Oryctolagus cuniculus: one gene and its partner. The protein of the gene in region 1 interacts with the protein of each later gene in a biochemical or structural test. Links are inferred from orthologs where the notes say so. Each region holds a gene or a part of one and is shown on either strand. Other genes may lie near its edges.

What was found. The genes of interacting proteins can lie anywhere in the genome.
Region 2: the proteins of FERMT2 (region 1) and ILK form a complex in vitro, tested with the Homo sapiens proteins (2 studies listed by BioGRID). The link is inferred for Oryctolagus cuniculus from reciprocal best matches to the Homo sapiens genes FERMT2 and ILK.

Annotation. Positions count from the first base shown.
Region 1 is NC_091443.1:23,419,211-23,423,299, reverse strand, and holds the start of FERMT2 (fermitin family homolog 2), read right to left. Parts: upstream 2,816-4,089; 5' UTR 2,523-2,815; intron 2,146-2,522; 5' UTR 2,137-2,145; coding exon 1,980-2,136; intron 1-1,979. UniProt on the Homo sapiens protein: Scaffolding protein that enhances integrin activation mediated by TLN1 and/or TLN2, but activates integrins only weakly by itself. Binds to membranes enriched in phosphoinositides.
Region 2 is NC_091432.1:60,282,955-60,286,643, forward strand, and holds the end of ILK (integrin-linked protein kinase), read right to left. Parts: intron 3,306-3,689; coding exon 3,140-3,305; intron 2,971-3,139; coding exon 2,875-2,970; intron 2,675-2,874; coding exon 2,578-2,674; intron 2,498-2,577; coding exon 2,414-2,497; intron 2,309-2,413; coding exon 2,223-2,308; intron 2,083-2,222; coding exon 1,973-2,082; intron 1,866-1,972; coding exon 1,738-1,865; intron 1,650-1,737; coding exon 1,528-1,649; intron 1,438-1,527; coding exon 1,338-1,437; intron 1,226-1,337; coding exon 1,095-1,225; intron 919-1,094; coding exon 769-918; 3' UTR 510-768; downstream 1-509. Other genes in the region: TAF10 (transcription initiation factor TFIID subunit 10), read left to right, coding at 73-187, 369-458. UniProt on the Homo sapiens protein: Scaffold protein which mediates protein-protein interactions during a range of cellular events including focal adhesion assembly, cell adhesion and cell migration.

The DNA.
Region 1 (4,089 bases):
AAATTAACACATCAATTCTGATGGCAAATAGTTTATTCTCTATAGTTCTATTTATGACTGACTGTAATAGACGATTCTAATCAATGCAATACATATATAGTAAGACCATTATTTATTCATTAGTTAAAGCCTGACTTTTGGGCCTGCATTGTAGCACAGCAAGTTAAGCCACTGCCTGAAGAACCAGCATCCCTTATGGAAGCAGTTCAAGTGCTGGCTGCTCTACTTCCGATACAGCTCCCTGCTAATGTGCCTGGGAAAGCAGTGGAAGATGGCCCAAGTGCTTGGGCCCCTGCACGTACATGGGAGACCCAGGAAGCTCCTGGCACCCACATGAGGGACCCGGATGAAGCTCCTGGCTCTGGCCTGGCCCAGCTCTGGCAGTTGCAGCCATTTGGGGAGTGAACCAGTGGATGGGAGACCTCTCTGTCTGTCTCTCCCTCTCTCTGTAACTCTGCCTTTCAAATAAATAAAATAAATTAAAAAAAAAAAAAAAAAGCCTGGCTCTGGAGAACTACAGGTTGCCTCAGTCACCTTCAACAGCTCCTTCCACGCAACGTGAAAGAAACCGCCTATTGAAACCCACGTTATTAGTGAGGTCCACTTATCACAAACAAGGCAAGCTCTGACACAAACGCTCTTTCCCTTGAAAACAGAGGACACACGGACAATTATATTTGGTGATATTTCAGCCCTCATACCAGTGCTGAACTGATCCATGGACACTTTGCAAAGAGTCATCGATTTACTCAAATCATACAAAAAACACTGTTAACCCACAGAGAGCGGACTGGTTAAACAAACAATACAGCAAAATCTAGCTGCCAAAGGGCTGGGGGTGGGGGAAGGTCCTGGCCCTGTCTCAGGCAGGTAAACAGCACAGAGGCAACCTTGTGAGGTGCTTCTCTCGGGTCTGTGCATAAGGAAACTTCTGCAAAGCCACAAGGCGGGTGCTCCTGTGAACCCTGCCGTATTGGGCACAGCGCCCCAGAGAGCTACTGCAGTAAGTTTATATGGTAGGGACGCAAGGCTCCCTTGGTAAGAAACACATTTCCTAATCAATGCTTCTCCACTTTGGCAGTGTGGTTTAGAAAAAAAAAAAAAAGCCAAAAACACAAAAACACACACCCTCAAAGTGAAAAACCCAACCTACAAAGACCTGACCACAAGTGCATGATATGGAAAACTGGGGAAGTCTCTTCTGAACACCAGCTGTTTAGCTACCGCGGAAAACGGTTTCCTTCATGGCAGACAGAACGTGCACTGGGAAACCTCCTCCAGTTTCATGCTGTCAGAGACCCTGCCTTCAACCTGGGCCACCCGGTAGGGACTGGACTCGGGCGAACACTGTCAACCCCCAAGCAGCCTTCCCGTCTGCTTCTGAACACGGTTCTCCCACTGGCTCGTTAATGTAAAACCGAATGCTCCGAATAGCCGCGCTGGAGCACCGGGTGGGGACTCCAAGTCGCTCGGCCGCTGCCCACCCCTCGCAGGGGCGCACGGCCGGCCGGGCCACCGCCACTGCCCAGCGACGCCAGCACCCGCCTATCTCCCCGGGTGGGGGGCGGCTTTCTAACGTGGATTTCGCGTTACTCCCGATGCCAAGCGTCGCCAACACGCCAGACATGGGTAACCACACGCCCCGCACCGCCACCCTGCAGACCCTGCCCATTTCTTTCCACGTGAAGCCGGCGAATGCAAAGAATCAAGGAGCTCCCCGCCCCCAGCCCAACTACGCAATGAAGTCTCTAAGTAGGGGCTCCAAGCACCACATTCCGAAAATTCAGAGCTAGCCAAACAAAACGCCAAGGGAACCGCGTCGGTTCGCTTAAATATTGACAGATCTCACTTTTTTTTTTTTTTAAGTATCCAAGAGACGCCAAGATTTCCACACCCGCCCCTCCCCCCCGCGCCGCCTCCCTCCCACCCCTCCCCCACCCCGCCAGTCGCTTCCCGGACGCCTCCGGGATGCTACTCACCCAGCTTTTCCACCAACTTCAGCATCACCCCTCCGATGTGCACCTCTCCGGTCACTCTCAGGGTGACATCGCGGTTCAGGTCCGTCACATGCACACTCAGCTCCCACGTCCCGTCCGCGTAGCAGCCATCTGGCATCCTTATCCCGTCCAGAGCCATGGCTCCTTCCTGCGCGCGCGGAGGAAATGGCTCTCGTAAGCGTCACTCCCCCAAACGAAGGCAAAGCCCACCGTGCTCGCGGCGTCGGCCGCCGGGCTGGGGAAGCCGGAGGACCCGGTGTTGGGGGTGGGGTGGGGGGCTCCCGCGCAAACTCGGGAGCACCGCGGAGCCGCACTGGGCGCTCCGCGCTCCCGCCCCGGCCCCGAGCGGCCGCGGCCCCGCCCGCCCCACGCCGCCCCCGCCTAGCGGAGCGCAGCGGCGTCCCCTGCCTGCCGCCCGGCCGCGCCCGGCCGCGCCCGGCCCGGGGAGACGCTGCCCGGGGGCTCCACAGTCTTCGTCCCCACCCGCGCTCCCCAGCAGATTGCAGCCCCGTCCAGGCCCCTCACCGCGCGCTCCTCGCGCACCCGGCCCGGGGCTCGCCCGCAACAGGCGCGGGGGCGGCGTCCGCGTCCCGCTCCGCAGCCGGCTCAGCTCTGCCTCCTGGCCGGAGCCGCTAATGGAGTCCCGGCGCCGCGGCCCCCAGCCTGGCTCCGCGCGCTCCACCCCTCTCTCCCCGCCCCCTCAGCCCGTCCGGTCCGGGCTGGGCTCGCCGGCTCCCTCCTCCTCCTCCTCCTCCTCCTCCGCCCCGCAGAGCGGCCCGGAGCGCCTGGGGCCGACCTCGGCCCCTCCACAGCCCTCCCCGCGGCTGCGCTCCGGGCGGGGGCCGCGGACTCCGGGCTGGGGGCGGGGCGGCGGGGGGCGGCGGGGGGCGCCGGCGGCGGCGGTGGCAACCTCAGCCCCGCCGAGCGCTGCCCTTTTATGGAAATGAAGGACCAGGCGCAGGGATGGAATCCAACATCCGGGCTCTCGGCGGCGGGACCTGAGGAGGGGGAGTCCGGGCCGCTCCTCCGCCAGCCGGAGGCCGCGGCGTGAGGGAGCCGGCGGCCGCCCGGAGGATGGGGCTCGGCGCGGCGAAGTGGCCGCAGGGAATCCCCAGAGCCGTCAGATTTCGGGGAACAAAGTCCTGCCGCTTCCTCCCCAGGCCTGGAACGCGCCCCAGAGTCCCGGGGCGGTGAGGGGCGCCGCTTCCCTGGAGCCGGCGGGCCGAGTTGGGGATGTAAAAACTTTAAAAAGTGAGCGCCCAAGCCGGCTCCACGAACATGCCGCGACAGGAGGAGAAAACCCGGGGTGGGGGAGGCGAGCCACAAACGTCGCTGTGCCATGGGTGACCGGCACGGTCAGCGACTCCCACGGGACCCCGGGAGTTTGCACGAGGCCTTAACCCATTGGGAAGCTGCAGCCCGGGGCGAGTGGCGGGCGGGCCCCCTCGCTCGGGCTGAGGGCAGGGAAAACCCTTGGTGCCAAAGCGTGTCCCCGGCCTGTCCAGTCTCCGGTGCGAATCTGGACAGCTTGAGAACCAGCCGCCTGTTACGAAGATGGGTCCTGCACCGCACCGCGAAGGCCCTGCGGTGGCTCCTGCAGGGCCAGGGAAGACTGCACGGAAGGTGCAACGCCGGCCTCCGGCCTCCCTGCCTCCCCCTGCCCCCTGTGCCGACCTCGATCCCGAGGGAACTCTGTGCACAAACAGCGAACCAGGGAAACCGCTTCGCTGGCCAGTGCACGGCTCAAAATATATAGGTCAGGAAGCCTCGGGTAAGATCCGCTACGAAGGCTCCCGGTTTGCAAAGCCTCATGGCTTTCCAAACACTTCGAAGGGAAACCCGCCAGACAAAAACAAAACACACTTTGGTTCATCGACACCTCTGGGCCAGGAGGTGAGAGCCTTGAGAAAGGACTGGAACCCAAAAAGGAGTGAACGCAGCGATGCTGAGTCGGATGCCAGAGGTTTGTCACCAAAAAGTAGAGGGAACCACTGTGGGGTTACAGCGTCGTCGTCATGGAGAGACATGCCTGCAGGCTCTGCCCCTGCACTCCCCGGTTATTTCTACTGAAGGATGTTCCAGATCCTTCCTT
Region 2 (3,689 bases), on another chromosome or scaffold:
GGTAGGCTAGAGCTTTGAGTGCTTCTGCAGGTTGTTGTCCACCTCCTTCTCATACCAGTTTTTTCTCTCTAGAATTCGGCTCATCTCCCTAGCTGCCCAGAAATTCATCTCAGATATTGCCAACGATGCCCTACAGCACTGCAAAATGAAGGGCACAGCCTCTGGCAGCTCCCGGAGCAAGAGCAAGGTGTGAGGGGAGGCTCACTTAACCAGTAATTACCCTCCACAGCAGCGGAGGCTTAACTTATCCTGAGAGCCCTGTGGGGAAACTAAGTCCCAGGGGAGGTGTAAGGCTACTCAGGATCACCCACCTGGGACTTCAATCTCGGATTCCTGTGCTCAGCTGGTACTCTTCCCTCTTCCCTCAGGACCGCAAGTACACTCTAACCATGGAGGACTTGACCCCTGCCCTCAGCGAGTATGGCATCAATGTGAAGAAGCCGCACTACTTCACCTGAGCCACGCAACCTAAATGTACTTCTCTATCCCCATGTCCCCACACCAGCCTGTTTTCGTAATAAACTTTATTGTGACAGGCGGGGCTGATCCCTCCCATTCTGGGAGACACCGTGTGGCAAGTGACAAAGCTCTGAGCCCAGCCCCTTTTGGGGCCACAGTGGTAGGGATGGGGGCAGAGGATGGGCCCCATGGCTGGGGTAGTACCATGACTGGAGGCAGGGGAGGCAACCAGAGGCCTACTGCTTTGGGGAGTTACACTCCCCCAACCATGTCCTGACACCTTGGAGTTTCAGCAAGGACCTTGCAGTTCTATTTGTCCTGCATCTTCTCCAGGATAGGCACAATCATGTCAAATTTGGGTCGCTTAGCAGGGTCTTCATTCATGCAGATCTTCATGAGCTTGCACACATGGGGGGAAATACCTGGTGGGATGGTGGGCCGAAGGCCTTCCAGTGCCACCTGCGAATACAAGGAAAATTAAGATGAGCTTCAGAATTTGAGTGTGTCATACAGGAAGAGACCTCTGACCCTTGGGACAGGATTATGTATCTGAACAACTGTGGGTAGAGCTACAATTATTGTCACCACACCCATCTTTTCTGCCCCAACAGAAGGGTATGCACATCTGCTCTCACCTTCATTCCAATCTCCATATTGGAGAGGTCAGCAAAAGGTACCTCTCTTGTCACCAGTTCCCACAGAAGCACTGCAAAACTCCACATGTCTGCTGAGCGTCTGTTTGTGTCTTCAGGCTTCTTCTGCAAAGCTGGAGAGATAGGGCTTATTTGTTCCAGCTGCCTAGCCTGTCCTGTCTCTGCCTTCTTCCACTGCTACTCAGCTGGTCATTCTCTACCTCCCAATGCAATGCCCTCACCCACCTTCAGGGGCTACCCAGGCAGGTGCATACATGCGTCCAGGGCATTGGAAAGAGAACTTGACATCGGCCATGCTGATCCGGGCAGTCATGTCCTCATCAATCTGGAGAAGATAGGTATGTGGAAGGTGAGTCCTATTCTAGGTAGGCAAAGGGCTATTGGGCCTGGGCCAGGAGTGAACTTGTGGCCTCACCATTACACTACGGCTATTGAGTGCATGTCGTGGGATGAGGGGCTCTAGTGTGTGTAGGAATGCCATGCCCCTTGCCATGTCCAAAGCAAACTTCACAGCTTGGCTCTGGTCCACGACAAAATCTAAGAAGAGACAAGAGTCAAATCACTTGGAGAGGCTCATGTACCATTCCTCATCCCTATCCCAGTGAAACTCAGCATCCCTACTCACTGGTGCCTTCATGTAGTACATTGTAGAGGGATCCATATGGCATCCAGTGCGTAATGAGGGTTGGGTGAGGAGCAGGTGGAGACTGGCAGGCTCCTAGCACTGGGAGAACATTTGGATGCGAGAAAATCCTGGGAGAGGGAGAGAGTGTGGCTGAGAGCTAGTATAGAAGTCATCCCCCTCAGTGCTATTGAAGGTTCTTTGGAACCAGTAGCTTGCAGTTTAGGCCTTGCCCCACCTGAGCCGAGGACACTCCTCATTGAAGTCTCTGCTCTTCCTTGTACTCCAGTCTCGAACCTTCAGCACCTTCACCACGATGTCATTGCCCTGCCAGCGGCCCTTCCACAACTGAAGGACAGGTAGGGATTAGGAGGCTTTAATTAAGGCTGCACGTCTTTGCCCACTAACTGGAGGGAAACTTACAACAGGTGTAAAGCAGGTAACTTGAGTGCAATTAAAGAGAAAAGGGCAAGAAAGGCAGAGGTCACCTCTCCTGAATGATTCTCGTTGAGCTTCGCCAGAAAGTTGAGCTGTTTGAAGTCAATGCCAGAGTGCTTGTTCAGAGTCCCATTTCCTGAGAATTAGGGACAGGTCAGATATCCAGCATCAACCCTGACCCAGCCCGAGGAACCCATGGTAATTCTCCCTTACACCCCTCCTCCTCCAAACAGTGACTCACGGGGCCGAGTGCGGGTGGTCCCCTTCCAAAATGTGTCCTTGTATGGAATACGGTTCAGATTCTGGCCCATCTTCTCTGCCCGCTCTGGGGGGAAAAAAACCAGTCTTAGCCTGAGCTGTGGTAGGGACGGACAGGATGACAGACGCTGCGGGTGGGAGCTGGACCTCGGAGAAGCTCTCTTAGGGGTGCCTTCGCTTTGTCCACAGGCATCTCTCCATACTTGTTACAGATGCTGACAAGGGCCCCGTTAGCAACCAGATCCTGGAATGAAAAGATAGTTGTAATGAGGACCCCTGCTATTTCCCTAGCAGTCCCAGCCAACCCCCCCCCACACACACACACACAAACACACATGCTGTGTACAACCCCATAAATTATCACACAGTAGTGCTGACAGGTTAAGGGTTCCAGAGTATTCCACTCAGGATCAGAGGTTGCTTCTCACCAATCCAAGGACTCACCTCTGCCACTTGGTCTTGGCCCCAAAAGCAGGCATAGTGCAGGGGCACATTCCCATGCTCATTCACTGCATTGATGTCAGCTTTGTACTGCAACAGCTGGGCCCCATGGCCAAACAGAGAAAGGCACAGTCAGTCTAAATGAGCTCTCCGTATCAGGATGTGTGAAAAGGAAGAAGAGTATACACTTTCTACTGTATATTCCAGTGCCTGTGGTGGACCTTATATGGCATGTATATCATGTGGGTGATGGAGGGTTCATACATACCTTCTGTACAATATCACGGTGTCCATGGCTGGCAGCCAGGTGCAGGGGGGTATCATCTCCACGGTTCATCACATTGATCCGTGCGCCCCGCATGATGAGCATCTCAACCACAGCAGAGCGACCCTCTCGGCAGGCCCAGTGCAAAGGGGAGAAGCCATGATCATCCCTTTGAAAAAGGGGCAATGGTAATTGGGTTGGATGGGGCAAAGGCTTTTATTTATGAAAAAATAGTCCTATACTCTCTGGGAAGGCGTTTTTAAGGACTTCAGTTCTCGTTCAGTTCCCAAAGCTGTGCAGGTCAGCCCTCGCCCTGAGCTTCATGCCCAACCCATGACCCAGATTAGATAACCCAGTGACTCAGTTTCTTCCCTGACAGACCCTATTTCATTGTTTCTCCTGCATCCCTTTTGCAATGTCTGTTGGTCCTGTTTTTTGCTGCATCTTGTACCTCCTCCTACTGTAGCACTTGCCACACAGTATTGTAAAAATCTGTTAAGGAACTGCCTTGCCTGTTAGACTGTAAGTTTCTTGAGGGACTGACAGCAGGTCT